Linked DNA regions of Arabidopsis thaliana. The protein of the gene in region 1 interacts with the protein of each later gene in a biochemical or structural test. Each region holds a gene or a part of one and is shown on either strand. Other genes may lie near its edges. The genes, in order: CYCD3;1, ICK1 and CDKB2;1.

Evidence for each region.
Region 2: the proteins of CYCD3;1 (region 1) and ICK1 form a complex in vitro, tested with the Arabidopsis thaliana proteins (one study listed by BioGRID).
Region 3: the proteins of CYCD3;1 (region 1) and CDKB2;1 form a complex in vitro, tested with the Arabidopsis thaliana proteins (one study listed by BioGRID).

Annotation. Positions count from the first base shown.
Region 1 is NC_003075.7:16,353,286-16,363,625, reverse strand, and holds CYCD3;1 (CYCLIN D3;1), read right to left. Parts: upstream 6,206-10,340; 5' UTR 5,724-6,205; coding exon 5,250-5,723; intron 5,161-5,249; coding exon 4,959-5,160; intron 4,850-4,958; coding exon 4,719-4,849; intron 4,646-4,718; coding exon 4,322-4,645; 3' UTR 4,061-4,321; downstream 1-4,060. Other genes in the region: AT4G34150 (Calcium-dependent lipid-binding (CaLB domain) family protein), read right to left, coding at 6,671-6,708, 6,808-7,117, 7,203-7,248, 7,938-8,009, 8,101-8,227, 8,335-8,439, 8,546-8,591; AT4G34140 (D111/G-patch domain-containing protein), read right to left, coding at 9,604-9,708, 9,794-10,015, 10,267-10,340. UniProt on the Arabidopsis thaliana protein: Involved in the control of the cell cycle at the G1/S (start) transition. Activates the G1/S phase transition in response to cytokinin hormone signal, but declines in response to sucrose starvation leading to G1 arrest.
Region 2 is NC_003071.7:9,973,356-9,982,730, forward strand, and holds ICK1 (Cyclin-dependent kinase inhibitor family protein), read right to left. Parts: upstream 4,736-9,375; 5' UTR 4,567-4,735; coding exon 4,369-4,566; intron 4,276-4,368; coding exon 4,232-4,275; intron 4,114-4,231; coding exon 3,847-4,113; intron 3,732-3,846; coding exon 3,665-3,731; 3' UTR 3,235-3,664; downstream 1-3,234. Other genes in the region: NAPRT2 (nicotinate phosphoribosyltransferase 2), read left to right, coding at 70-186, 277-335, 441-615, 699-833, 919-1,017, 1,101-1,209, 1,286-1,398, 1,477-1,554; AT2G23440 (uncharacterized protein), read left to right, coding at 6,127-6,375. UniProt on the Arabidopsis thaliana protein: Binds and inhibits CYCD2-1/CDKA-1 kinase complex activity. Regulates cell division which is crucial for plant growth, development and morphogenesis. Functions in turning cells from a mitotic to an endoreplicating cell cycle mode.
Region 3 is NC_003070.9:28,717,407-28,727,821, reverse strand, and holds CDKB2;1 (cyclin-dependent kinase B2;1), read left to right. Parts: upstream 1-5,271; 5' UTR 5,272-5,470; coding exon 5,471-5,697; intron 5,698-5,991; coding exon 5,992-6,133; intron 6,134-6,224; coding exon 6,225-6,286; intron 6,287-6,399; coding exon 6,400-6,511; intron 6,512-6,602; coding exon 6,603-6,696; intron 6,697-6,796; coding exon 6,797-6,866; intron 6,867-6,954; coding exon 6,955-7,093; intron 7,094-7,172; coding exon 7,173-7,268; 3' UTR 7,269-7,494; downstream 7,495-10,415. Other genes in the region: AT1G76550 (Phosphofructokinase family protein), read left to right, coding at 893-982, 1,435-1,607, 1,697-1,809, 1,947-2,021, 2,110-2,223, 2,344-2,411, 2,530-2,613, 2,754-2,807 and 10 more; AT1G76530 (Auxin efflux carrier family protein), read right to left, coding at 7,548-7,672, 7,754-8,007, 8,108-8,208, 8,300-8,392, 8,470-8,682, 8,714-8,835, 8,929-9,053, 9,126-9,205 and 1 more.

The DNA.
Region 1 (10,340 bases):
TATATATATATGTGATCATATGATATTAAAATACAGTATATATTTCCTTGTTTATTTGTTATAATTTCCCACATATGAATATCTTTTTTGTTTTATTTACTGCATTGGACCAATGATTACTTGGTTTTATGAACCACCATATAGACTTTGCAGCTGTGAGACATAATCATGGACTATACAAATTTTGAGAATGCAGCTCTTTGTTTTTGTTTTTTTTACTTCTTTTTATACTTCCTTTGTTTTGAAGCTAATCATGTCCTGATTTTCAATGCATGTGAATTTGTCAACATCCCTTGACTAGTAAAAAACGTATGTGCAGTACTCAATTGTAAAAGTATAATTAGTTTATGATATATATGTACTTTTGGTTTGCTTCGATCAAATCGTCAACAAAGAGAATAATTCAAGTCATGACTTCTTCTAAGAAACTCTTAACACGGCGTATATTCTTTTATATGGGTAAACACATAAGCAATTTGAAGGCTTACTTTAATCTTTTGATGATTGCATGTGGCAAATTAATGAAAGTAGCTTGTAGAAATCTATGGAGATCTGTTTGTTATAGCTTGTAGAAATCTATGGAGATGTGTTTTTGGAGTTCTTTTAGTTTTAAATGAGACACATAATTTTGAAACTCTGGATCATATTCAAACTCAAGATTTATGGCACTATAAAAAAAAAACTATTAAACATTTAAGTTATTTATGTTGTATCATAAAATAAATCTGTAATTTAAAATTTGTTAAATATATTGTACATATATGAACGAAGAGGATGGAGACAGCGATAAACACACCGAATTCTTTCAATGAATGACTATCTGATCTGATTGTTTATTTGTTTAACCATGGAGCAAATATTGCTACATGCAAGTTGCAACGTTAATTAAGGAGACTCGTATGCATAGAGCCATAGATAGAATAGGCAAGTAGCGCGTGGTATGAGACGACGTAAAAAATGTGCATACACAAACGATGCATTTAAATCGCTGTTGATAGTTTGCTTACTATCAGGAGGAAAGAGTTTTTCAAAAACACGAATTCAAACACCGATAAAACAAATGAGGATTAAAATAATGATCCGAAAAGATGATGGACCTATATATACTTCAAACTTTTTTCGACTATTAAGCAAAAAAAAAAAAGACATTCACTTAATTAGTGAAGTAAATCGATCGTAAGAGATAATGTTAAACCATATCGATGAATCGCTAGATTAGAAGTGTTTCCACAGTTTACTCTACTTGTGATTTATCTTAACTTACTTAATTTCTCAGAGAATACTGATAAGCATATGCAGCAGTTCTGTAACAAATTTTGATGTATTGTAATCTTCTCCCCGGTATAACATTTTGACCATACACACATTCTCGTCACTTCAAATTACAATAAAAGAAAAAAAGAAGAGTGGAAGTAAAAAGGGAAGAGACTAGGTCAAAAGAAGAAATATTTAAGATATAAAGGTCACAAAGCCATTGAGAATGATAATAATATTCTATAATTATTGTTGTGGGGACACATTGACCTCTTTGCCCTTTCTCCATGTTGGGTGCAAGCTGTTTTCCTTTCCCATTTTTTCTAAACTTTTTTCATTTGTTTTTACCAATACAAATATATTTTGATTTCTTTTTTTAATAACTGAGTTTTCTTCAATAAAAAAGCATCGATTTTAACACCTATTAATTAAAAATTAAAAATAAAACTACCAAAATTCAAAGCTGACTAAGAATAGTTTCACATTTATTTGATGGGATGGAATGGGAAGGGAATGAATTATTCGGTCCAGAAGAGTATATATTATACCCAAAAGTAAAGACTGTAAATAGATGTGAAGAATTTTTTTTTTCGACCAATTTTTTTTTGGTTAAAAGAACTTATTTTCTTCGTAGCAAGTAATCTCTTTTTCATCTTATCTTTGTTTCAGGAAATAAATAATTTATGGCAAGTCATTATATGGTTCACGAGATGCGTATGGTACCATGATATTGATAACATACCTTAAAGAGGAGAAGACCATTAGAAGAGACAAAAAAAAAAAAAAAAAAAAAAGGACAGAAAACACATTCTCCACAACATATTTATTATTTGAAATTTGTAAAAGAAAACGAATAACTACAAAGATTTTTTGGTCTCCCATTTTGAAAACCTCCCGATTTCCACATACATCCTTTTTCACCTTTCATCAATTATGTAGCTACATGCCCTACTCCAGATTTTCAAATGTTATCATAAAATTATAGTAATGCATGTGGCCGATTATAATTTTTGTATAGTTTGGTATGCAAGTTTTGATATATCATCTTAATTGTTTAATTTTAAACCAGTGTTTTTGCACTAGAGATTCTTTTATTAGATTAACTACTCAAATTTCAGTATTTTTATTTGTTCAGTTTTGATATATCACATTGTTCCCGTTCTTCTGCAAATTATAAAATATTATTTTTAAAAATACAAAATAAGAATAATAAGAAGAATATATTATTTCTTCCTATATATATTAGCATATAGTTGCTCAAGAACAACGGCAAAAATAAAACATATCATATATATAATATATGAACACTTTCAATCGTATATACACAAATATACCTATTTTCTACAGCCAGTAAACTTGTGATTAAAAGTCGATATACATATTGTAGAAATAAAGAGTCATGTTTTTGCTAACATGTTAATATTTGTGCTTAATTTGATATTCTAATACATATGCATGGATGTTAACTTTTTAGTTGAAGTTAGAGAACGGATCTTTTGTTTTAAACAATACATAAACGCATTACGCATACGTATTAATGTAAGATTACATGAACGAGGGGAGTTTAAATGCTTTGATGACGTGAGGCTGAGCGTTAAGAAACGACATCAGCTAAAGCAATTCGTTTTTTTTCTAAGTAGCGAAATGAAATTGAGAATATAAAGGAAAAAGAACGATGAATCTGAATCCCCCAAAGTAGAAAATTCGTGTCACACGTGAAAAAAGTTATAGATTTAAATTCTCTTTTTTTATTGCCAAGAAAATAAATAAATAAAAAGTCCAAAGAGAAAATAAAATTGGAAAAGAAAAAGTGTAAAAGAAGGAGCCAAGATTTTCACACAACCTAAAGTTTTGTTTAAAAAAAAAAAATCAATTTCTCGTGATTCAATCGCATTATCATATAAGCTTTTCCGTGATACAAAAGGGATTTTATAATAGTAAATTGTTAAATTTAATATCTTCAATTTTCGTAATTAATTGACGATTATTTGATGTTATTAAAAGAAAAAAAGAATAGTAACGCTGGATACTTTTTGCCACGTGTCTTAATCCCAGGTGCTCAGAGTGGAAGCAGGTTACTTTGGTTCTGGTGTTGTTACTAATGCTGCACCACATTTTTATCGTCGTCGAACAACACTCACCTATATATGGCGCGTTTACTTCACTTCCTCCTTCTTGTCCTGTGTCTGTCTGTCGCAGTTAATTTATCTACTGGTCAACGAAAGATCTACACTCTGTAGATTTGATTTAAGTTTCGCTGTTTGATTTTTAAAAACATTTATAATTATATGTTGTTATTTTCGACAACTTACATGTTCATGTGTAGTTAGTTATTTGATACGCAATAATATAGTGTAGAGCAGGTTTTGACAAGACTTTAGACAAAAAATCTAAAGCAATAATATAGTGTTACGTTTTCATTTTTGTCTTTCCGTTTTAAAATTTTAATTATTGATTCATCTTTGAAAGCGATTATATTTAAAGACTGACAAAAAAAGCAGCAACAATTGGCTCTTCTCCCAAAAGTCAAAGCTAAAAACGCTAAATCTTTCACTTTCGATCATAAACACAACAGTCTCATTCAAATATTAAAACATTGTGACATCTCATTTCTTAAATTTTGTATTATCCACCATTCTGGACGAAAAAAATGTAGTTATCAAATAGCACGGATTTAAATGCGTTTTTTTCTTTCCTAAACTACAGGAGTAAAAGAATATGTATGTAATTATTATTTCCTTCAGCAAAGCAGATTTTAGAACATACTACTACTCATAATATAAAACATTAATAAAATATGAATAACGCCGGAGATTACGGCCCAAAGATTGGGCAAGCCTCAAAATTTACGCAATATTATTATTATTATTTCTAATTCTCTCCTTCGTCACATCCCATGCAGTCAAATGTCATGAATACCCTTTACCCATTAACTCTATCAAGCCATGGCACGTAAGGGCATTCGCGACATTTCGTATATGCAAACGGGTAAAGCTTAATACAACAAAGATTGTTCTCAAAGTTTAAAAAAACAGTAAATATCATATAAACGAAATCGAGCTTTCGATTATGGAGTGGCTACGATTGCCCATGGCAGATGCAAAATCGGCTTCTTCTTCTCATTCTCTTCAGCTCCTCTCATCTTCTTCAATGGAGGTTGTTGCTGCGGGGACGACGACGACGTTGGTGGGTTGCACGAACTCGCTGACCACGAATCGTTTGAGCTTTCGTCGCTATTGAAAGGGTTTGCATCAATCACGCAGCTTGGACTGTTCAACGATGATGATGAATCGTGACTCTTGCGTTTCTTGGAAGATTGGATTTGGATCTGTAAACCGATGCGGTCCACTGGTAGTTGGAGGATTAGATCGTAGCAAGTTTTCACCTTTTCCTGTTAATGCACGAGAGTTGTTTGAGAAAATGACTGAGTGAAAACAAGTAGAGAGATGATTAGAGAAGCTAACCTTGGTTAAGTTAAGGACACCGAGGAGATTAGTTTGGTATGAAAGAGGGTCAAAGGGATCAACTTGCTCTATAATTCGCATCATGGTAGCTGCGGCAACTACTGATGGGAGGTACCCGACAAATCTTGAATCTGACAAAGACAATTGAGGAAGATAAGACAAGAATGTAAGATGATTACTCAGATTCAGCAGATGGTAAAACGAAATGGAGTGGCTTTTTTCTTTTTGTCGTTTACGAACCGGAGATTACAGAGAGGAGGAGACGGTGGCATTTGTTGAGGAAATCCCAGTGAGCATTGTTCTTAAGTCCCAATCTCCTGATAATGTGGTCTACGAACGAAATTGGAGTAATGAGATGCATCTTCCACTCGAGAGTAGACAGAATCAGTAGCTCCATTCTCTGTATGGTTTTTGCTTCAAACACATACTTTGTCTCCTCCACCTGCAAACCCCCAAAAAAACAGAGAGATGAGAACAGAGGGATAAAAGACTTAAACTTTAAGGAAATTTATTGCAAGTATCATCATTTACTTGAAAGTCTAGAAGAAGAGGGACTTGGGTTTCTTCGACTTTAGCAGCTAATGAGAGACACGCGACAGAAACGAGCTGAAGCATCCATGGTTTGTCTCTCTGTAAGCTGTAGCTACAGATGAACTTATCGAGATAAGTTATGGCTAAAACAGCTGCTAAAGTAGAGAAGCCATAATGAGCGTTGACTCTCAGAATCCAACCAACAGCTTCTTTTCGATCCGTGGAAAGATAAACATCATCGAGACAGCTGAGTCCTTGTTCTTCTTCTTTGGAGAAGAGTGTAACCAGATCTTCATCTTCCCAGAACAAATCTTGTTGCAAAACAACGAATGGAGAAGAAGAAGAAGACAAGGAAGAGTTTTCTTCAACTTCTTCTCCTTCATCGTCCCATTTCTCTTCTTCGCAGTAGAGAGCATCAAGAAGAAACGAATTGCTCTGTTCTTCTCTACTTTCTTCCTCCTTCCGAATCGCCATTGTGGGGGACTAAACTCAAGAATGAGAAGAAAGATAAGATCTTTCTCTTCTCTTCTATATTGTTGTTGATTTAGTTATTGGGTTTTGGCTCAGAGCATTACACGGAAGAAGATAAGATGATAGAGAGAAAATCTCTCGGAGAGAGACTCATCTTTCCTCTCTATGGAAACGTGCAGTGGTTAGCTTAGCAGGGGAGAGCTACAAAAGAGAGACTAGAGAGAGAAAGAGAGAGGAAAAAGCTGGAAGTGGGTTTCGGAGAGTGATAAGAAGAGAGATTGATTTATGAGAGAAGGCCGAGAGATGGTTTTTACGTTTGTCTTTTACTAATATATTATTTGTTTTTCTTGTTGTGATTATTTAATGTGGAATTTCTTTTTCTTTATTTTTTATTAAATGTGTGATTTCTTTTGCTGTTTCCCGCTTTACCCACTTTTTACTCATTTGGAGTAGAGATCGAGAAACCAAAGTGCAGTAAAATCTGTCGGCTAAATTCTACTACTTTTGGGCTATTTGTCAACAATAATGTTTTTGTTAGAACCTAAAGATATTGCTATACATTGACCAAATAACCTTTTTCTAATTGCATCTGATCACAAGTGCGATGATTATACGCCGATAAGTTCCGTTTCTTAAAGTTAAAGACAGAACCAAAACCTTTTTTTGTTTTTAACATAATTTTAACTCAAGAGGATGATGAACACACAAAACCAAGGATTTAGAGTAATAATTCAATATAATCTGCGATCTGGTTAAACATGAAAAGATCCAAACTTCTCAATAAGTTTCACTGACCAACTCAAAAATTAACCATCACGCTAGCAATAGCACAAGGAAGATGATATAAAAAAAACAAAACAAAGAAATTCGTCTGCCAAATTCTAGAAAACACCATAACTATAATCTATACATCATGACCACTTCCCGTCAAATTCTAAACGCCAAACGCTCTAGTATGGAGGAGGTGGGTATTGTCCTGGATATGGACCTGGAAACAAGAAGAAAAAAGATCAACCACCACTGACTATAGTTAGAGACAAGCAAATGCGATCAATTGCAGCATAGAACAGGAAAGAAAGGAAGGTACCTTGTGGGTAATATGATGGTTGCGGAGGGTATGGTTGAGGAGGGTAAGCTGAGGATGGCGGAGGAGGTGGGTAAGCTGAAGGGATCGGAGGGTAGCCCGAGGTTGAGGGAGGTGGATAGGCAGATGGCTGAGGAGGATACCCTGAAGCTGGAGGGTATCCTGATGGCTGAGGGTATTGTTGTACTTGTGGGTATAGAGATGGTCCAGAGTATGGTGGTGCTGTTGAATACGGAGATGCAGAAGGCGGTGCTGAGTATTGAGGTACGTGAGGTGCATACGGTGCTGATGGCGCAGACCCGTAATTATGTTTCTGCATACAAGAGTGGATTGTGTGTTTAGCCTTTTGTTTATAATGGAACATGTTAACCAATGTTGCTAATTGAGGCTCGACTTACCTTTGCTCCCGCATAATGCAGTAGGAGTTGTACTTCTCCAGCGAATCTACAAGACAGAAAGGTTGATGTTTTTCACAAGGCTTTTAATCAAAAAAGTAATCTTTTACAAGGAGCAATCGCTGAGGACAAGCTACCAAAATCTTGGCACATTGTAACCGATTTTCCAGGAATTTAAGAAAACAAAACACATAGCCATGGATTAAAAAACACATAACTTTCTCTTTTTCAAAAACAAAAATGGAATACCTCAAGAGACCAGTTTTAAGAAATTCTAATTTGATGCTACAATGTTTAAACGCAACTTCACATCTCTTTACTGAGGTAACCTAACAACAGACAATAGAAGCTCCATTTATGTCAAAATGTCTAGTTATCTTTCATAAGTTCCAGAGAAACCTAATCAAAATGCTACATCAATTGTGAGTGTGCTCAATGTAGAAACAGAACATTCGAACAAGTAGTTCACACAGATTAACAATTTAGGACACAAAAACACACATAACGACTCTGATCAGTGAGCAAAACCATGTCAGCACTGTAAGTAAATGACAAGAACAAAGCAAAGCAAAGCAAAGCAACTGGCGAAACTATATATTCAAGCACTATATAGTAGAAACCACATCAAAAAGTTGCACCAAAATCAGCTAGACAAATGTGAACCATGCAATAATCGAGATTACCAAACATGATACTTAATGGAAAAGGAACAAAAACTAGTAAAGCCAATGTAATTACCTCCCAGTTTTACTCTGCAAAGTCCAGGTACAGTCGTCGTATTCCTGAGAAAGAACTTTCTGCAATTGAATCCTAATAACAACCAAACAACAAAAGACTCAATTCCAAATCCAAAGCGGGTATTAAAAAGCATAACAAGGCAATGATAAGAAGTGACACATACGTTGCATTGCCAATGAAGTCATCAGTGGAGAGAGTGTTGCTATTCCAGACAGCAACCTTAAGATCCCTAAGCCCTTCAATCAAAGTGAAGATAAACTTCTCTTGGAAAACAGCGTTCTTTCCACCATCTGAAAAAACAAACCCATCAATCAAATTCATTGAAAGATCTTAACTTTGTTCAATTTTTTCTGGATCTGAACAAATTATGAATAAAAGAGGTGGTATTAAAAATAACCTGTGCAGGTTCTGGTACGGTGACTTCTGCCACCATACTCAAGGACGACGTATGGATCTTGTCTTGAAAACCATTCCGTGTCTTTCAATTTCTGGCACCCAACAACTGACAAATCAAAAGAATCCCAGAAATTTTAAAAGTTAACATTTCAACGGATCATAGATAAGGTTGAAGAACATAATAGAATTGGGGATGTGAGAAAGGTACGAACCAGTGACCTCGAGAATCTGGCCTTGTATACCCGCCATCATCGACATGAATTTGGAAGAAAACAATCGAGATTGAGAAAAAGAAGGTAATGATGAAGATGATGAATTCAGAGAGATAATTCCGTGACGTGAGACTTTAAATAAAAATAAAATGGCGACTTTGATTGATGATGAAATAACGCAGAACTTGCTTTCAAGAACCAGACGCGTCTCGTAAGGCGTTGACCGTAATTTTGACTTTTCATTAGATTTAGGTACGCGTTTTTTAAATATTATTATTTCCTTAACTATTAAAGTCTAGATGTTGATAATCTTTGATTCATAAAATCAAAATTTTTACAAACAATTACAAGCACAACCACACAATAGTGATAATTCTATGGCATGTCACCATTAAAGATAGATTCACGACAATCAATAAGTAAATAAATATAGATATAGCTTCGCTTTGTTATTTGCTAGACACCACTTATTATCTTGTGGATGATATTATAAGGTGTGGCTGAAGAACGGAGACCAAAATAAAGGGAGTGTCTTTCTTATGTATTTACTAGGATGCGTCCAATGGCATGATGGTTATAGATTACAGTGTAGCTGTTGCAATCATCTTGGTTCCTTTGAAAGTTCTAATATCATCAGATGACAGACAAAAAAAAAAAAAGTTTCCCCTTGGAACAAGTCATCCAAATATAAAGGCAGTAACCTGGAAATAGCTTTCTTTGTTCGTATAATTTTTGTTCAACGTCGCGCCATTTCAAAAAATTGTCGACCAAGAGAAAATGGACCATAAATCCGATATGTTGTTTTCTTGATACAGTTCTATTGCTTGGTCCAATAAAAATCGAAACCAACTTGTCTATTGCTTGGTACTTCGATTTCTCATTCTATTTCTCAAAATCAGCAAGTAAATGATTCTCAACTCTTACAAGTCTAGATGAAATTTAGCTACCTATTGCAACCTCTCTTGTTATAAGCCAATCCAAGTTTATATAGTAACTCAATTTCTCAAGTAATATATGAACACTAAGAGTCCCTTAAACTGAATATCTTGTACCTCATATTATTTCCTTCTCCTTTGAGGAAATCCTAGCCCTACATTCCCAGTGTTGCCCACTGCTTGTATCGGTTCAACCAAACCTTTTGTATTCTTCCCTAGCGTCTCACCCTGCATTAGCATTTCCCCAGTAATCATAAATTACGGTGACACCAAATAACATCACAACTCACAAGTGATAAGATCCACAAGTTACCTCCTTCCAACCCATGTTTCCCATTATCCTCCTTGCATAACTTCCAGATCCAAATGATAGCTCCAATGCTTCTGCTACAGTATCCTCTTCAGAACCAGTGTCGGGAACTGAATGCTCGTCCGTGTTATGGTCCACTGTTGTTCCTTTTTGACCTGGTCCAACACCATATCCACCATGCAAATTTCTTCTCTCAGCGGCTCTATCTCTGTATGAACAGCTTCTCTGCTGATAAACAACAAGGAGCAACAATGAAAATACTAGCTTACTAGGGTTCTAATAACACTAAACTATGCCTTCGAAATACTCTTAACAGATTTAAGTTTCTCACTGAATTTCCCCATACACAGAGCTTTAGAAAAATGTCTCCTGCTAGATATTGTGCAGAAGTTCAAGCAGCAGGATGTTTACATCCTTCACAAACATTCTGAAACATAAAATACAAGAATCCAGCCATGAAGGTGAGGTCCGAGTACCTCTTCAATCATGTTGACTTCATCTCGTGGCTTCACTGTGAGTTTGCAGTCAGTTTTTGGTTTCACCTTCTTAG
Region 2 (9,375 bases), on another chromosome or scaffold:
TCTGCTTCAACCCTTTGCTTGAATCTTTGTCACAGTTTTTCTTATGTTTTGTTTCTTTGTGGATGACAGTATTCACCATCTCTAAGTGGCATTTTCTCTGAGACAAATCAAAGCGAGCTAGCAGCTTTCACCTCATATGCACTGGCATTCCCCAAAACTTTTCTTGCCCTCGTAGATACATACGATGTGAGCATTAAACACCATAGTAGATAGCTCATTTGAGCCTTAGGATTTCTAATAAACTCTTATATTAGTGTTTTGCTGACTGTTTTACAGGTGATGAAGAGTGGAATCCCTAACTTCTGTGCAGTTGCTTTAGCACTCAATGACTTTGGGTGTGTAAGAATCTCTTATCAATACCCGATCGTCTGACTTGACTTTGTACTTCTTCAGGATCATATGGAATTTGAGATGCAATTGATGTTTATTGTGCTGCGCAGATATAAAGCATTAGGTATTAGACTGGATTCAGGTGATTTAGCTTATCTATCTAGAGAGGCCAGAAATTTCTTCTGCACGGTAGAGAGAGAACTAAAAGTGCCTGGTTTTGGGAAGATGGTCGTCACTGCTAGTAATGATCTAAATGAAGAGACGATTGACGCTTTAAATAAACAGGTGACTCCCTAACCCACTCTCAAATGCCATGCCCCCGAAAGATTGATTATTATTAAGCAGTGTTTTTTCTTTCATCTCTATAGGGACATGAGGTGGATGCTTTTGGCATCGGGACCTACTTGGTCACTTGCTATTCACAAGCGGCCTTAGGTTGCGTTTTCAAACTTGTGGAGATAAACAATCAGCCTCGGATTAAACTTTCTGAAGATGTTACAAAGGTTAAAACTCTCTCTCTCTCTCTTGGTGTTCTGAACATTCAATGTCACATTGCACTTAATCTGATTATCATTCTGATTCGTTTAGGTATCAATACCGTGTAAAAAGCGAAGTTACAGATTATACGGCAAAGAAGGTTACCCTCTGGTAGATATAATGACTGGAGAGAACGAACCACCTCCAAAGGTAAAACGAAAGATAACTCTCTCAAAGATTTTAATCTCATTACCTTATTGCATTTTTACATAATATCTTTCTTGATATCAAAGGTTGGTGAGCGTTTACTTTGTCGTCACCCATTCAACGAATCCAAAAGAGCATATGTAGTGCCACAACGTGTCGAAGAGCTCCTCAAATGTTATTGGCGTGGAAGTGCAGGTAAAGATTTTCCGGTACCGTAGAGTTATTAATGACAATGCTTTTCACTGATTATTGTTTCTCTATACCAATGAAGATGAAGCAAGAGAAGTATTACCGCCTTTGAAAGAGATAAGAGACCGTTGCATCAAACAGCTCGAAAACATGCGACCTGATCATATGAGGAGATTAAACCCAACTCCTTATAAGGTATGGTTTTATCCGACAAACATGTTTTTCAGTTTCTGAGAAATCTGTGTAAATGTTTTTTTCTCTCATGGTTTACAGGTTAGTGTAAGCGCAAAGCTGTACGATTTCATCCACTTCTTATGGCTAAACGAAGCACCTGTTGGTGAATTGCAGTGACAGAACAACCAAAAAGAAGAATCTGGTTTTGGTTTGGTGTAATGTATATAATTTATATACCACAGCATCACAAATATGCATTTTTTTCACTTTTAGTTTCTTTTTCTTACAACATTTTGATGATCTCTCATTGTCGTAGTAAGTTTCATTTTCTTACTGAGGAAAGAAACTCTCTGCGTTCACTGGAACTTTGTTTTCAACTGATTCAATAAGATTTTATATTTACAGCTGTAAACATACTGGAGACTGTAAAAACATTTACTCAAGTCAACGATTTTGGATCAGGTTTAGTTTCGTCATATGGTTGACAACTTACTGTTGCAAACGGATTGGTAAGCAGTTGAGTTAATTGAGTTTTTTCTAGCAGAGATTTGAAGAACATTACCTTTCTTCAAAAACTTCTTTAGGCGTTACTAGGACGTTTGGGGTGGACCTAGTCACTAACCACATATTCAAAATTCATTTCCAAAAAGATGAATTATGGAATATGAGAATAGAAAAATACAACAGAGTAAATGAGGAGTAAAACTTTATTACAGAAACTTACCAAACAGTAAAAAAAAATATGGAATATAAGGAAACCATTACTTAACGAAAAATCACTTAACAAGAATACAAGATGACTAAAAATGACAAGACGATAATCCATCCAAATTGAGGTTAAAAACAAGTGATAGTTTTGGTCTTATACAACAGAGTTATACAAGTGTAACTTTGAATTCTTATGGTCTCCAAATAGCCATGGCTTCGAGGGCAGGGCACTCGATATGGGCGTGGGTTTTCTTGGATGAAAGTTAAATTTGTTGATATAAAAGAAACACATAGTATACACAAAACTGGTCGGGACCAATACTCTTTTTTTTTTTGGCTCCGTTCATATTTTCAAAACAACAATTCTTTAGTGAAAATTAATAGATTGATTAAAGAAAAAAATGTTGAGAAAACATGAACTTTCATATTGTTGACGAAAAAAACATGAACTTTTCAAATGTCATTTAAATCCTAAAGTTTAGTTTGACTTCTTAAAAAATAGTTAATTTAGTTGACTTGGCCATTCCAAACATATCTTTAAGTTTCCCTTAACAATATCACGAAAATAAAACAGCCCTCGATGAAAGAATTGTTTTTGTTTATTTGAGTCCCTCATTTAACCTGTTTGTGATCTGAATTAAGCTTACATATACAAAATGGTCCATGATCATTTGTTTTGAAGATTTTCTGAAATGGTCCATGAAAGAGTTTTGTTTCCAAGTCTTCGGATAATTTGTCTAGTTACAAAATGGTCCTGCATCATTTGGAATAATGTATTTATGGCATTATCTCAAAATTCTCTAACCATTGGGCCAGTACAGTATGCCCTTTACAGATCTAAAGTTTTATTATATGCTAGTATTATTATAATTAAAATTTTGAAAAGTTTCAAACCAAGTTTCGTGTGATAGAATGTTTGTGATTTGTTATTAATCAATAAACTTTAAGAATAACAGAATCATCTTGAAATTCTGATTGGTCGAGCTCAATCATATTCGGTGCTGAATATGAAACAAAAAAATTAGTTGGTGTGGTTAGCTGACATGGTTGGTACGATTTTGTTCAACAAAAAACTGCACTGAAATTGTCGATTAGTTAATTTAAGTAGTAGAACAATAATAACTAATTTCATAGTACTTTTTAATCCATATCAAACGTTGTAAGAAATAAAATTCTAAAATAATTTTAAGCGTTTAGGGCGGTAAGATAATCTACCAAAATGCATTTGATGTTTTTGGTTGAATATTATTAAAACGGAGAAGACAAAAAAATGAGTGTGGTTGTACCTGTGTGGGGATAGAATTTTATCAGTCACCAAAAACATAAAAATGTACTAAAGAATATGCTAAAAGATACACAAGATTCGAAGAAGAGGTAAAAGTAGAGCTAAAAGACACGACTTTTCTGGGCTCTAAAATCTGTTAAAAAGCTTTCTTCTTTTTCTGTGCAATTTCGTACTTCTAAAAACATTCCTCCTACAAATCTTATATTTCCAAATCAACAAAATAAAATTAACTTATTCCCTGAAATATTAAAATCTAAAAAGTTAAAAAAAAAACCATAAACTTCTTCTTCTTCTTCACTCTAACTTTACCCATTCGTAACGTCCTTCTAATGGCTTCTCCTTCTCGAAATCGAAATTGTACCTAATTAAAAAAAAATAAACTCACTCTTAATTTTACCTCAAAATCAATTTTAAATTATGAATAAAAAATATATTATCTATAAAAATCAAACTCACAAAATAAAATAAAAACTTACTTCTTCTTGAATTTTTCTTTGAGTTGTTTCTCAGCTTCCACAAAAAAATCTTCAATTTCCGATTCCGTTGGCATCTCCGTCATCAATTTCGCCTTCTCCTCCTCCTCCGCCGTCACCGTCTCCTCCATCGTTTTCCTCCCGCTACAACAACAATCTAACGATTCTTTAACCGCCGATTCAAATTCCGATGAATAATTCTCCATGGATTTACTTAATTCTTCTTTCTCCTCCTCTCTCAGATTTTCAAAAAGCTTCCTCTTCGTACCCCTAAAATAACTCACAAGCAAGATTCTAAATTTATTGAAGAGAGAGTCAAATAAATAACCGGGAAAATAATAAAACCTTCAAAATTCAAATCATTTTCAGTTTTTTTTTTAACACTCACCGTCGATACGTCGACGTTTCAGTGTCACCATCTTTATCTTCCTCCTACAAAAATTTCAAAATTTCAAAAAAAAATACATTAACATTAAATGATACATATACAGTTACAAGAATCTAGAATCAACAACATTAAATAACCTCCAGATGTATTAATTCTTTCTTCTTATATTCATTGCTTCCACTACAAGACGACGAAACTCCATTATCACCGACGACGGAGACAGAGCTTGATTTTTCCGATCTAACATAAACAATTCTCCGGCTCCGTAGCTGCATATACGTTGACGAAACTCCAGCTTCTACAATTCCTTTAGCTTTTCTATATTTTCTCACCATCTTCGATTTAGGTTACGTGTGCGTGAAGTCACAATCTCTGTGAGAGAGAGAGATATGATTGAGAGGATGAGGAAGAAGAAGAAAGAAAGATGATGAATTTGGTTTTGAACGGTCAGGATTGAGTTTTGTGCTGTGTGTGATAGAGAAATGGCGTGTTTTAGTGGTCCCGTTACAGTGACGGGGAATCTTTAACGGGGAAACTGGAGGCGCCGTTATTTGGATGTTATGGAGTTACTTATGCCGATGGTTTGTTTTATTGACACGTGTCGGTTATAAACGGTGACTTAACGGAACGGGAGGCGTAATAATTGTGGTGTAACTAACTATTTTAAAAACCCTCTCATCTATTGGTAATTCACAGATTTGCCATTACGCGAAACCGTTTAAAATGTTTTAAATTATAATTGACAAGCTTTTTGTATAGTTGGGATGAATTTTATAGTTTAGGTAAAATTAGAAAGTTCATATTACTTTAAAATGAATTGGATAGAGACTATATATAGATTATGTGTATAGTATAGGTGGATTGTTACGGATAGCCTAAAAACTACGTACCTGTGAGTAAAATAAGGTAAAAGTAAAACTGACACTAGAAATTATATTTTTGTTATCCCTGCGTATTTGCTTAGCCTGATGTCAAGTTGTCAACAGCACGTGTCGATCGTGATATATTGGGCTTAATAAGTCATAATATAGTAAAGGTTTCTAAGAACTAAACTTGGCCTCCATCACTTCCCATGGGCCTTGTCAGCCTTTCTATGTTTTGTTTTTGTCTCAAAGCATGAACAAAATGGAGTGGCGAGTGCATTCAAATTACCATGTCTTGCTTTAAAAATTAAAAATATTTTTTTTTTCACTGAAAGATAAATATATACTTCATAATTTCCAACCAAACATACAAAAAAATGTGGATCAAGGACAATCATTCTAGATCAACCAGTATTACACTAGGCATTTTTTTCTTCCTCAAAAAGTTGTTTTAACCAAAAAGAAAACCTAGTTGCTACATACGATTAACGGCGATCATTTTTTGTTACGCTCTTGGCAATAAAGTGAGCATCAAGATTAGATCTCCTTAACTCACCAAGCAATTTTCAATCCAAAAAATTCCCTAGTTTCTCAATCAAAAGAAGGGACTGAAATTTACATGAAGGTCATGCAGACGACTTTTGTTTTAATTGAATAACATAAAACTTTTACTCACTTTACAAAAAAGTATGAATCTATAACCCTAGATTTATAAAGATATTAGAAAACTTTTTATAAATCTTAAATTAATAACAAAGAACTTTAATAAACTTTTTAAAAATCTTGATTGAATAACAAACGATTTTACATAATCGTTAAAGTTCTTTTAAAATCATAAACCAATAATACCCCCTAAATATTTAATTTATCTCCTCAAGTGTTGCGCCCATGTTATGTAAAATTTCATCCCTATAAATACATCAGATGGTCCAAGAGGTTTCATGCATCAATACATAATACATTTTCGCCTTCGACTAAATATTATAATTTAGCTTCTTTTTTTTTCTAATTCTCGTCTCGGTTTTTCTAGTAATGGCGACGATTAATGTTTACGTTTTTGCATTTATCTTTCTTTTGACTATTAGTGTTGGTTCAATTGAAGGCCGAAAACTCACCAAATTCACCGTAACGACGTCTGAGGAAATCAGAGCTGGTGGCTCTGTATTGTCGTCGTCACCTCCGACTGAGCCACTTGAGTCGCCGCCGAGCCACGGGGTTGATACCTTCAGACCTACGGAACCTGGTCATAGCCCCGGTATTGGACATTCCGTACATAATTAACGGAGAGGAACAATAGCATCGTCTATGTGATTACATGTTGAAAATATGATTGGCCTGGTGACTTTTTTTTTCTGAATATGTATTTACGTACAGTTTCGTCATATTCAGTTTCTTGCAAGTGTGATTGTAATAATATTTATTTGATTAAATTAAGATTGATGTAATCCATCTTATTTTAAAAGCACATACATTTTTTTATCAGGTTCCAATTTTCTCATATATTTTTCTATCGAGATGTGTCACTCGCTTGAACTAAGAAATTTTTCTATCGAGATATGTCATTCGCTTGAACTGAATCATACGTAACTCGATCTAATCACAAACCGATTTAGGAATAGAACTATAGAAGCAATTTCGATTACTTGTTTATGTCTTCAAAATCTGTACGTAGAACGAATAACTATCTTTGAAATAATTTGGTACAGATATTCCATATCTGCGTTTCAAAATTTGAGCCAGACATTATTTTGCATGGAGAAAAACCTAAAAGTTTGTATTACGTAATATTAGTCACTGAAAAACTTTAGTTTGTTTGTTAAAAGTTTTAGACGGATGTTAGTATTTGAGAAATAAGCAATATACCAAGTAAAAGATGGTTAAGAATTTAGAGACAAATAACGAAAACTGAAGCTATATTTCCATTAACGAAAAAGTAATCATGTATATCCATTAACATAATCTGTATTTCTTTTAACTAAATTATATATTTATAGCTACTACTTCAAAAATTAAGAAAATAAAAAATATTTCCAAAATACTGATTTACAATTCTCATACAAAATAATAATTAAGACAGTCAAGAACCTAAGAGTATCATTAAAGGGGGGATATTAGGGAGATATTAGGAGATTCTTAGATTGTAAATGATTAAATTTAAATGTTAATTGAGCAATTTTGCTTAGAGGCCCTCTAAGCTAAGAGATCCTCTGAAGTAAAATGTGGTGGTGACGTGGCATGATTTGGTTGGTTGGAAGAATAATATTAAAGCCGAATTTTTTTTCTTACCGTTAATTCTTCTACTATGTATAATAATTTATAATATGATAGTAGAAAACGAACGAGATACTTACACTTACTTTGATGTCTCTGAATTTGTACAACCGGAATCAACTAGAAATGCACAAGTGGATTTCACCTATTCTACATATATGCCTTCAAATCTCGAGAATATATTGGAAACTCGAACTCGAATTCGTAATCGACAAGCACATCAATAATTGAATTTGATTTGGTTGAATATATATGGAAATTTTTTAGCAGAAATTAATAGTTAAATTTTATGTTTTCATGTATGTTTTAATTTTTTGTATGTCATCTATGTATTGAATATTATGAGTTCAATAATAATTAAGTTTTTATATATTTTAATTTTTAAATATATTTTTTTTAAGAACTTCAACTTAATATACTACTATTGAGCTTGCCAAAAAATTAAAACCTTACCAAAATTCTTAACTACAAAATTTTACAAAGTTTACAAATTTTAAAAAAGGTTAAGGGCTCGAGAATTTTACAAGATCATAAAGCTCTACTAAATTACATGAAACGGTCTAGTCTCCTTTAATCTATTATAGAAATGCACAACTTGAGCTTGAAATGGTAGGTAAGCTATACATGTGGTATTTCTCTATAAATTTGTAAAAGCTAACCGTACAAAAAGAAACCAAATATCATGGGATTTATTAATTGAATGGTCTCTCCTTATATTGGACCAAAAAGCGTTAGTCCAATGATGGTGAGTGATATTCGGAGTGTTCAAAAGATTCTCTGTCTAGCAGCTATAAATGTTTCGTAGGCTTCAACAACCAGTAGGATTATCATTTCGCTCAGAGTTCGTATAATTTAGTAATTAGCAGGAATTCTTTTTGTTGGTTCAATATTTGTCAATAGTAGTAGTATTCTTAACTAAATTATGACACAATAATCTATGTTTTAATAAATAAACTTGCCTTGATCAAGTAAATGACATATTAATCTATGTTTTGTAACCTGGCAAAACAATTTTAAAATGATATATAAACTACATTTGTATGACTAATTTTCAAAGTAAAAATAAAAAATCCCACAAAACAAATTATTGTATTAATAATATAGTCTGTATTATATGCATAAATATATCATTAAAATGGGTCAAATATATTCCACTATACATACTTTAATATTACATTATGTTTTCGCACTTTAATTTCTTTTGATTAATAAATCAACGGTAGAAGATGTACGACAGCCTTGCAAATCAACTTTAATGCACAAATCTATGAGTTTGTTTGGTGGCGCATGAGCTTATCGTAAACTAAACATCTTCTCGCTTAATATTGGTATATGTTCGGCACCTTTAGCAGAGCTATGGGGAGTGTATTACGGTCTCTATATTGCTTGGGGGAAGAGAGTGGAACGGTTGGAGTTAGAGGTGGACTCGGAGTTGGTGGTTGGGTTTCTAAAGACAAGGATAAGTGATTTTCATTCGTCGTCTTTCCTGGTACGGTTGTGCCATAGCTTTATCTCAAGGGACTGGATAGTCCGTATTTCTCACGTGTATAGAGAGTCTAACCGTCTTGTCGATGAGTTAGCTAACTATGCTTTTTCTTTGCCATTAGACTTTCATACTTTTAAGGCTTGTCCGCCGTGTGTGGCGTTGATTGTGGATGACGACATACGAGGAACTACAGTTTCTCGGAATGTTCGGGTGTAATTTTTTCATTTTATTTTTAATAAAAAACAGGAAGAAATCCCTGTGCCTCACAAAAAAAAACTAAACATCTTCTATGGCCTCCTCTTCATTTCGAGTAGCCAACTAATTCTTTTTTTTATCTTTATTTTTGGTTTGTTCTTATAATCATTAAGATTTTAATCTACTGAATAAAATTTTCATTAAGTAATAGTGGTGTACAGAAACTAAAGTGGGATCCATTCAAGGGACTTCCAAAAAGGCAGGAGCTAATTAGAATAATGTTTAGATTCCACCTCAAAATAGATGAAGTGTAACTAAAGGTGCACACG
Region 3 (10,415 bases), on another chromosome or scaffold:
ATTCAGTTGGTAGATCTTTAAATAATGACAGGCCTTTCCTACGGTCAACAGAGTAAATAAGAAGCCTTATTAAAAGCCCAAATCAGGTCAAATAATAAACAAATCCATTTTTTTAAAGATCCATGTGCATAATAAATATTTATTTTCGATGGGTAGTTTATCAATTATCAGGCAATAATAATACTTGGGGAAGAGGGAATGAGAGAGTCGTATCTTTTACTATATGTTTGCCTTTATTCCTTTGTAATTACCATGTAAAAGCATATCTCCCTATTGAATGCTATATTCCCCAATATTTCCATCTTCTTTTTTTTTCTCTCGCTATTTCCGTATTTACCCTTCACCTATCCTTTGGTGCTCATTCACTCTCCCTTTTAGCATATCATCATATCCTATTTTTTGCTTTTATTTTTTCTTAGTTTGAAAGTTTGGTCGCACTTAGGTGGGGAATTTGTCAACTCAAACTAAACCAAAACCTAACCGCATTTATAAACTAAACTTAAAACCAAACGTACACTCATACAGTTCGATAAATTTGCAGTCTAAAACCTTTTAAAACCCATAAAATATGAACACCAAACCGAATTAGACAATTTGGTCACTAACCAAACATTACCAAACCGAAAAAGGTAAGGGTATATATTTATATCCAATGGCATTTTCGTAAATAACCAGAATAACAAGGGCTGATCGAGAAAAAGCGTGGACTGAAAGAAAAAAAAGAAGAAGACCAAATTTTGGCTGTTTGGTTGATCGTATCGCCCAAGTCCCCCGCATACTATATAAATACTTTTGACGGGCCAAAGGAAAAAACTTTCTCTGAATCTTCTCTGAGTCTCTCTGACACTCTCACCAACCTAATTTCTCACAAAAACCTAAAAAGTTATCGCCCATGGATTCAGATTTCGGAATCCCCAGAGAACTCTCTCCTCTTCAACAACTCCGATCTCAGTACCACCCTGAGCTTCCTCCTTGTCTCCAGGTACTTCTCCTTCTTCCTTTTATTTGTATATTCGTATCTTCCTTAGATCTCTTGCTTCCTTCTCTCGTTCACTGTCTCCAATGTTTGGATCTCTATGTTTTTCATTGATATCATCTCTTCTGCTGTTTCGTTTTCTCACAATTTCGTCACGTCGCGAATATTTTGAATCCCTTCGAGCTGTTTATTTTGATTGTCTACTCGAGGAACTTGCAATGTTGTTTCCGTTCATGCAGATCTGTTTACACTGTTATTATAATCGGGATCTAGGGTTTATGATCCTTTTATACTTACTCGTCTGATTTAACATTTCAGTTTAGTGTGGTAGGTAGAATTGCCTTTCAACGTGAACTACCATGATGGAGTGATTTTCTGGAACAGTGATTGAATCGTAGTTTTTTTTTTGGTTGGATGATTCGTAGTTTAATTCGTTATTGATTCAATGTACATTACAGGGGACTACTGTCCGTGTTGAACTTGGTGATGGAACCACTGTGGCAAAGGCTGGTGATGCTCATATCATTGCCCGTGCCTTCCCACATACTCTAGGCCAGCCTTTGGCTCATTTCCTCAGGGCAACTGCTAAAGTTGCTGATGCTCAGATCATTACTGAACATCCAGTGAAGAGGTGTGCATGCATCTGCATATTTATAGATCTCTGGAATTTCTTGTTCTGTGGTTTTGTTGTTGGTTAGAGCTAGTTGTTTTCTATTGTAGGGTCGGAATTGTGTTCTGTGGAAGGCAGGCTCCTGGTGGGCACAATGTAGTTTGGGGTCTATACGAGGCTCTCAAAGTGCACAACGCGAAGAACACTTTGCTTGGATTTTTGGGTAAGTCCCTGTTTTTTATCTGTTAGTTGGTTTTCTTATTTCTGTAACTTCATTGTTTGCTTACTATAAAGTCACATCTTACTTCCGTATTGATGTGTGCCTGGTCATTAATATGAAACTTTGGCTACCTGTAACAGGTGGTTCTGAAGGTCTCTTTGCCCAGAAGACCCTGGAGATCACTGATGAGGTCCTCCAAACTTACAAAAACCAAGGTTGGTGGTTGGTGGTTTGATTAAGATTATTCAGAACTTTATCTCTGCTGCTTTCTGACATATGGCATTTAAATGTATGTCGTATTAGGTGGCTATGATATGCTTGGAAGAACCAAGGATCAGATTAGAACAACCGAACAGGTCAATGCTGCACTAAAAGCATGCACGGATTTGAAATTGGATAGCCTAGTTATCATTGGAGGTACCTACTTTTCCTCTTTTTCGGGTGTCTGTTTTAGTAGATGTTTTGTTCTTAACTTGTGTAAATATGATTTTTTAAGTTCATCCCAGAATTTTCTAAATCAATGTTTTTATTTGTTAGGTGTAACATCAAACACAGATGCCGCTCATCTTGCTGAATTTTTTGCTGAAGCAAAATGCTCAACAAAGGTCCTAATTTCTTCCCAGTTTTTCTCTTTCTTTGTCTGATCTTGTATCATGAATCACTTTAGTGACATTTGCACTTCACCTGATATCGCTAACAGCAGAAATTACCAATATGTTTCAGGTAGTTGGTGTTCCGGTCACTATTAATGGAGATCTTAAGAATCAGTTTGTGGAAGCAAATGTTGGTTTCGATACTACATGCAAGGTAACTTTGAAATCTAGCGCTTTTTTTTCTTTTACTTTGTAGGTATTGTAGCCAACATTCTTTCATTTCGCTCACCGTTCTTTTCAGGTTAATAACATTTTAACTCGTTATTTAGACTAATATCATTCTACTGTGTACAGGTGAATTCTCAGCTCATTAGCAATATCTGCACCGATGCCCTTTCAGCAGAGAAGGTAAATGTTGATTCCTTCCAAACGTTATCATGTTTTAGAAAGATTGCTAGGACACTCATAACCAACCTATATTTTGTTGGTTAATAATGTGAAATTTATTATGGTTTGATAATTGCGAAGTTGGGTTCCTTATGATTCTGTTATCAAATTTTCTTCTCAATAACATACTTTCCTCCGTATTGCCAGTATTATTACTTTGTCCGTCTCATGGGTCGGAAGCATTCACATGTTGCCCTTGAGTGTACACTTCAGTCTCACCCCAACATGGTATTCTTCCAAATTCTGAATATATTCAATCGATAGTCTTGGCAATGCTGCATCTAGTTTCTCATTTGCATTTGATGCGATTGTCTCAGGTGATACTGGGTGAGGAGGTTACAGCATCTAAGCTCACAATATTTGACATCATAAAACAAATCTGTGATGCTGTTCAAGCAAGAGCCGAACAAGGTCTGATAACTAAAACGAGCTTTTGGTATGTTGGAAGTGATGTCTTTTGCTTGTTCCCTAACTTTATTGATAAACTGTCTATTTGTATCAGACAAAAATCATGGAGTCATCCTAATTCCTGAAGGGCTTGTTGAGAGTATTCCTGAACTCTATGCTCTGTTGAAGGTAACGATTCAATACTGGCAAACATTTCTATTTATCATTTAATGTGCTATTTTTTATTGTTTCTTGAGTTCCAAAACATAGTAAGCATTTACATGTTGTTGTGCGATGCAGGAAATTCATGGATTGCTTAAGGAGGGTGTGCAGGTTGATAATATTTCTACTCAGTTGTCATCTTGGTCATCTGCTTTGTTTGAGTTTTTGCCTCCATTCATTAAGAAACAGGTTCTAATTCTTTGACATGGTACTTTTCTTTGTTTTTTCTCACATGTAAACGAGTATGTGTTCTTATGATAAATTGTCTTCTTTGTTTCTGCAGCTACTTCTCCATCCCGAGTCTGATGATTCTGCTCAGCTATCCCAGGTAAGAAGAAAGAAAATGATGGAGTTACTGTGCTATAAAAAGTTGGAATTCTAATTGCTCATTTACTTTCTTCTTAGATTGAGACGGAGAAACTTCTGGCTTATCTTGTGGAGACTGAAATGAACAAGCGCTTGGTATGTTGCACATCTTTTTCACTTGTCACAATCCATTTTTTTCAAATTTTTTTGAATAACCTTGCCTGAATATTCAAGTTGTCCCTAAAACTAAGTTTTGAAAATGACAGAAAGAAGGAACCTACAAAGGGAAGAAATTCAACGCTATCTGTCACTTTTTTGGTTACCAAGCTCGTGGATCTCTTCCATCAAAATTCGATTGTGACTACGCCTATGTATGTGATCGCCAAACTAAAATGCTATTGCAACTTCAATATTATGGACATTCACACCATTGATTATAACTTTGATGCAGGTTCTTGGACATGTATGTTACCACATCCTCGCAGCTGGTTTGAATGGTTACATGGCGACAGTGACTAACCTGAAGAGTCCTGTAAACAAATGGAAATGCGGGGCTGCGCCTATCTCAGTTGAGTTTTGTCTCTTATTTATAAGGCTAAAGTTGTTTAGTATATGTGTTGATTTCTGACTTCAAGTTTCAGTTTTACTGACCCCAATCTCTTTCTCTGTTTAACCTTAGGCAATGATGACGGTTAAGCGTTGGTCCCAAAATTCTGGTTCTACTACGATTGGTAGACCTGTAATTCATCCAGCTTCAGTTGACTTGAAAGGAAAAGCATACGAGTAAGCTTTTGTTCCTCACTCATTAGACAAAGATTAGAATGAACATGAAATCAAGTGATATAATTTGTCAAATGATTTTGCAGTCTATTGAGACAAAACGCGCAGAAATTCTTGATGGAAGATATGTACCGAAACCCAGGACCAGTCCAGTATGATGGTCCAGGTGCAGATGCAAAGGCGGTAAGTCTGTGTGTAGAAGACCAGGATTACATGGGGAAAATCAAGAAGCTGCAGGAGTATCTTGATCAGGTGAGGACGATTGTGAAACCGGGTTGCTCTCAAGATGTTTTGAAAGCGGCATTGAGTGTTATGGCCTCGGTGACTGATGTTCTCACTACGATCTCATCTTCTTCCACCAGCGGTCAGCAATTTGCTTAAAGATTTTTTTATTGTTTTGGTTTTCCCTTTAACCATAAACTTCATTAGCTCTCTCTCTCTCTCTCTCTTTCCATTTTGAAGTCGTCTTCTGATTTACGCAAACTTTATTGTTCAAAGTTGAGTTTAGGAAAAGGATATTCAAAGTTAAAGGATTTGAGTAATGCTTTTTTAATGAAGAAGTCTGTGTTTGGGTTCACTAATCTTCTTGTTGCCTTCTCGATCATAATTTGTATATGGTGCGACCAAATCAAAGTACCTACGGATATATATGACAAGTGGACACAAATGAATAAATGTAAAAATTAAAATTAAATACTATAGTACGTGGCAAATTAAAAAAAGGCGTTTATGAAAAGACCGCTCCTCCACGCTCCAGTTTGAATTTCGAAAAATCAGTCCGTTGTGAAAGCCCAAGAATAAGGATTCTATAATTTCAGGTCTCATTTAATTATATAACCTATCTACACTTTGATCTCCGACAATTCACTTTCCCAATAAGAACCAACTGAGAGAGAGAGAGCGCCGGAGAAGAAGAATTTTAGAGAGCGATGGACGAGGGAGTTATAGCAGTTTCCGCCATGGATGCTTTCGAGAAGCTTGAGAAAGTTGGTGAAGGGACATACGGGAAAGTTTACAGAGCCAGAGAGAAAGCTACCGGGAAAATCGTCGCTCTAAAGAAGACGCGTCTCCATGAGGACGAAGAAGGCGTTCCTTCCACCACTCTCCGCGAGATCTCCATTTTGCGAATGCTCGCTCGTGATCCTCACGTCGTCAGGTTAGGGTTTTACCTCTGATTCGATAAAATTGCCCCCATATTCTCGATCTTGTAGTCGCGTTAGGGTTTATATAGTCGATTTCTCACTATCTCGCTTGTTTTCCAGATTAGATAGATCTCAATTTCAAATCGTAGTAATCAGTTCGAAGAGTCTACTAATTGTTAGATGATTTGGCTCTGAGAAACTGTTGATAGATGTTTCCCTAGAGTTTGATCTGGATCGCTGTATCAGTTAGTTTTCCAGTGATTGCAAAATCAATTATATACGGAAACTTTATTTGTCATCTTTTTCAGGTTAATGGATGTTAAGCAAGGACTAAGCAAAGAAGGCAAAACTGTACTGTACCTGGTTTTTGAATACATGGACACTGATGTCAAGAAATTCATCAGAAGTTTCCGTAGCACTGGCAAGAACATTCCAACCCAAACTATCAAGGTTTTTAACCACCTTATTACTGTCATCTCTCTTTCTCGCTTCATTTGTGCTCACTTGAACCAAACATAACATTCTGAAAAGTTATTTGCAGAGCTTGATGTATCAACTATGCAAAGGTATGGCATTCTGCCATGGTCACGGGATATTGCACAGGTGAATTGTTCTCTGGCTTTCCCTTGTTTTCAACTTCTAAGTGAGAATGATTTTAGATAATAACTTGGAAGAGAGATTTCTTCTTCTTACTATTTCTCCTTGTTTCAAAACAGAGATCTCAAGCCTCACAATCTCTTGATGGATCCCAAGACAATGAGGCTCAAAATAGCAGATCTTGGTTTAGCCAGAGCCTTCACTCTGCCAATGAAGAAGTATACCCATGAGGTAATCAATGTTTGACACTGCTTCTTGCACTTATCCCACTTTGTATGTATTGTAGAACTTATGGTTTTGAATCGGTTGTTCATTGCAACAGATATTAACTCTTTGGTATAGAGCTCCAGAGGTTCTTCTTGGTGCCACCCATTACTCTACAGCTGTGGATATGTGGTCTGTTGGCTGCATATTTGGTATGTGTTCTTTTCAGACTCGTTGATTTCACTAGTCACTGCGATATCATCTTAAGTTACTAAACAACAACAATTAACATTGTTCCTTCACCATTTACAGCTGAACTTGTGACCAACCAAGCAATCTTTCAGGGAGACTCTGAGCTCCAACAGCTCCTCCATATTTTCAAGTAAGTCTTTGTTGATTCTTCACCTTTTACATGACAAACATAAGAAAACCTTTTTTCATTTTGCCGCTCTTTCCGGTGTACAACTCAGGTTGTTTGGGACACCCAATGAAGAAATGTGGCCAGGAGTGAGCACACTCAAGAACTGGCATGAATACCCACAGTGGAAACCATCGACTCTATCCTCTGCTGTTCCAAACCTCGACGAGGCTGGAGTTGATCTTCTATCTGTAAGTCTAAAGTTTATTAACTAGCTACCAAAACAAACTCAACAGACGAACTAATTGCGTTTTTATCTTCCTGGAACAGAAAATGCTGCAGTACGAGCCAGCGAAACGAATCTCAGCAAAGATGGCTATGGAGCATCCTTACTTTGATGATCTGCCAGAAAAGTCCTCTCTCTAAGGATTTAAAATCTTCAGTTAGTATCTTTCCAAGTTTTATGGTTTTTCTAGTTTTGCTTCTTTCAAGCATATCTCTAGTGTGCTGCTTCCCCCTCTATGAATCATCCTTTCTTTAGCATAATATATCACTTCTGATTGTTGTTTCTTTCTATTCGAATATTTGGATTAACGGCTTTAATGTTCTTAAGACTATTCGCAATTATAATGATCCAGTCATCTGGAAGTCTAAGAATAAGTTCTTGAATAAATGGATACATATAACAAGATCGAGTGTGGGGATTTATGTCACAAGCCACATGAAGAATGTTGGCCAAACAGTGAGTGAAACTGCAGCCAAAGAGTAAGTCCAAAGCATAATCACAGAGCATTCACTCTCCCCAGCGCCGAATAATTGGGTCTTTGTACCTGAAAAGTAAGGGAAACTAGTGATGTATCTTATCTGAAAGAAGTAACTGTATTTTAAGGAGTTGGTTTCAAGCCATGCACCTAGATTCATGGCTGGTGGGACAGCATACTGAAGAAGAAGAACGAATTGGTACAAGGGTTCTGAGGTTACTAAATCCAACTTGTATGCTCCTCTCACGAGTAAAACACCGCTTACAGGTAGCAAAATGTAACGAGCTACCAAGACGCCGATAATGCAGGAGTTTTTCATTTCTGAACTCCTCACTTCCGACCTCCTCATTCCTTTAAGTAAGTTTCCTCCAAGAATCAGGGTCATAGCAGGAATGGCCCCATCTCTTTAGCCAAAAGAAACAAGACACAGAAAAAGTGAGTTTTTCAAAGAGATGAATCATTTGTTGAGCTACTTCTAAGATAATGAGACTATTCTACAATTACCCCAATAGGGTTAATGAGTCTTGAATCACACGGAAAGGAGCTACGGTGCCGATTATTAGGTTCCTTAAAGGAGTAATAAGCCCAATCACAAGCGCGATAATCTGAGAAAACAGAAGAAGAAGAGATAAGAAAGATATACACTAGTGTGAATGTCTTGAATGTATATAAAAAAGGTGCCACTGAAACACAAACTGCAGCAATAGTTGCTGGAGCAAATATTGACCCAAGGTTGACTTTCTTTGACAGAGAAACAACTCTTTGCTTGACTTCTTCCCACCTCCCAACCTGTCAAACACACACAAAGTCACTGCCAAAATGAATAACACTGATGATGATGATGAAGAGTTGTTGATTAATGAGACCTGATGGTTGTCTTCTTCTTTTTCTTCTTCCTTGGAAGAAATTAGTTGGACTTTGCAGCTGTCATCATAGTTGGATTCAATAGAGTGTGTGTGTGTTTCAACGGGAGAGTTTGATAGCACACGCATAAGATTTATATATAAGTCCATGAGTAAACCGTTCCCGCCTGATACATACCAATTAGTGTCATGTTTATACACACTGATAAAAAAAGCCTTGAAGAGAGACAAGAGAGGAAGAACTAACAGTCATGGACAGTGTAACATAACCCATTCCGTATTTCTCGCAACTCTCAGAATCTCCAAAGGGACCTCCTTTCTCCTTGCAAATGGCTGGGATTATAATGAGAGGCATAGTCCCCAAATTCCCTGTTTTTGGTTTCATTCATCATCACATTCATAAGCAAAACATACGATACAAAGAAAGACAAAAAGATTCTAAAATCATGTCAAGGTTTGTACCAGAAGCACAACAACTAATGATGAGACCACGAAGCTGTGAAGGAGGCTTAGTTATGACAATAACAATCCAGCCGAGTAACGAACCAATCATGAATGTGAGCAGAACATTAACCGGCATAAACCACCTGCAATGCAAATCCTCATTTTCATTATAACAAGTGAGCTTAAAGATGATGCAAAATTTGATATTGACTTACATTTTGACCAAGCTTTCATATGTAACACTATCAGCTAAGCGGCTTCCAATAAGCGAAGGACTAAACACATAGAAGACAATCTATACACAAACAAAAGAGAAATTTAAGTTAACTCTTTTAGATTATTTGTTAAAGAAGAGAGTTAAAAAACGGACGTTGTTCAAATGTTTGCGAGCATCATGACCAAGAAGATTGACTGTGTCGAGAGCCAAATAAAATCCAACTGATGTTATCAACAAAGTCTCCACAACTGGTTTCGATGAAGCTATGAACAACTCCAAAAGCTTCATCTCTACTTCCAAAAGTTAGAATCTGCAAACTTAATCCATATATTACATGATTTGAGATAAAGAAACAATGAACCAAACGACGATAACTTATGGAGAAATCAAATGAAATGGTATAGTTACCTTTTTAGAGGAAGAGTGAAGGAGAGATATAGAGTAAGTATTATTTTTGTTCCGTATGAAAAAACCAACGTATCATAACCACCAACTCTTTATCTGAGAAAAAAAGAATACAAATTATAAGGGAACCATCGTCATGCCTTTAGTCACAGCGACTAGGAAACGTGCCATGTTACTTTGTGGTTCTTGCTGAAGATGTGGATATGTCGCATTGTGTTTACCGTATGGTAAAGAACAATAACGTTGATTTTAAAAAAACTTCTGTTGTTGTCATCTATTTTCTGAAGAATCGTTTCATAAACTAAAATGTTTCAGTACTATAATTTTTGTTTTTCCACAGTTTCACTAGCTACAAATTTATATATTACATATAGTATATCTTGGAGTCTAGCATGCACTTTAGCCCTGATGTGGAAGGTTATACATCAAAATCTCAAATATGACGTGATGAGACATTAATTGATCTTAGAGTACGATTAGGTTTGAGATACATGGACACAGATGTAAAGAAATTTATCACAAAATCCACCAATTAGAGCTTTTTGTCACCACTCTTTTCTCTCATCATTTGTACTCACTTGACTGATATGTAATAGTCTATTAAACCAAATGTAACAATCTGAAATTTTTCTCAGGTGTACCAAACTAAACAAAGGAATAGCTTTCTGCCATGGCCACAGTCACAAGTAGTCAAGTAGATTGTTCTCTGGTTTTACCCTGTTTCAAGAGAGAATGATTTGGGTATCATAACAGAGATTTTAAGCCTCACAATCTCTTGATGGATCCCAAGACAATGAGGATCAAAATAGCAGATTCTTGATGAGGCTGGACTTGATCTTCTATCTGTAAGTTACAGACTGTAAGTCCAAAGTTCGTATCAAAA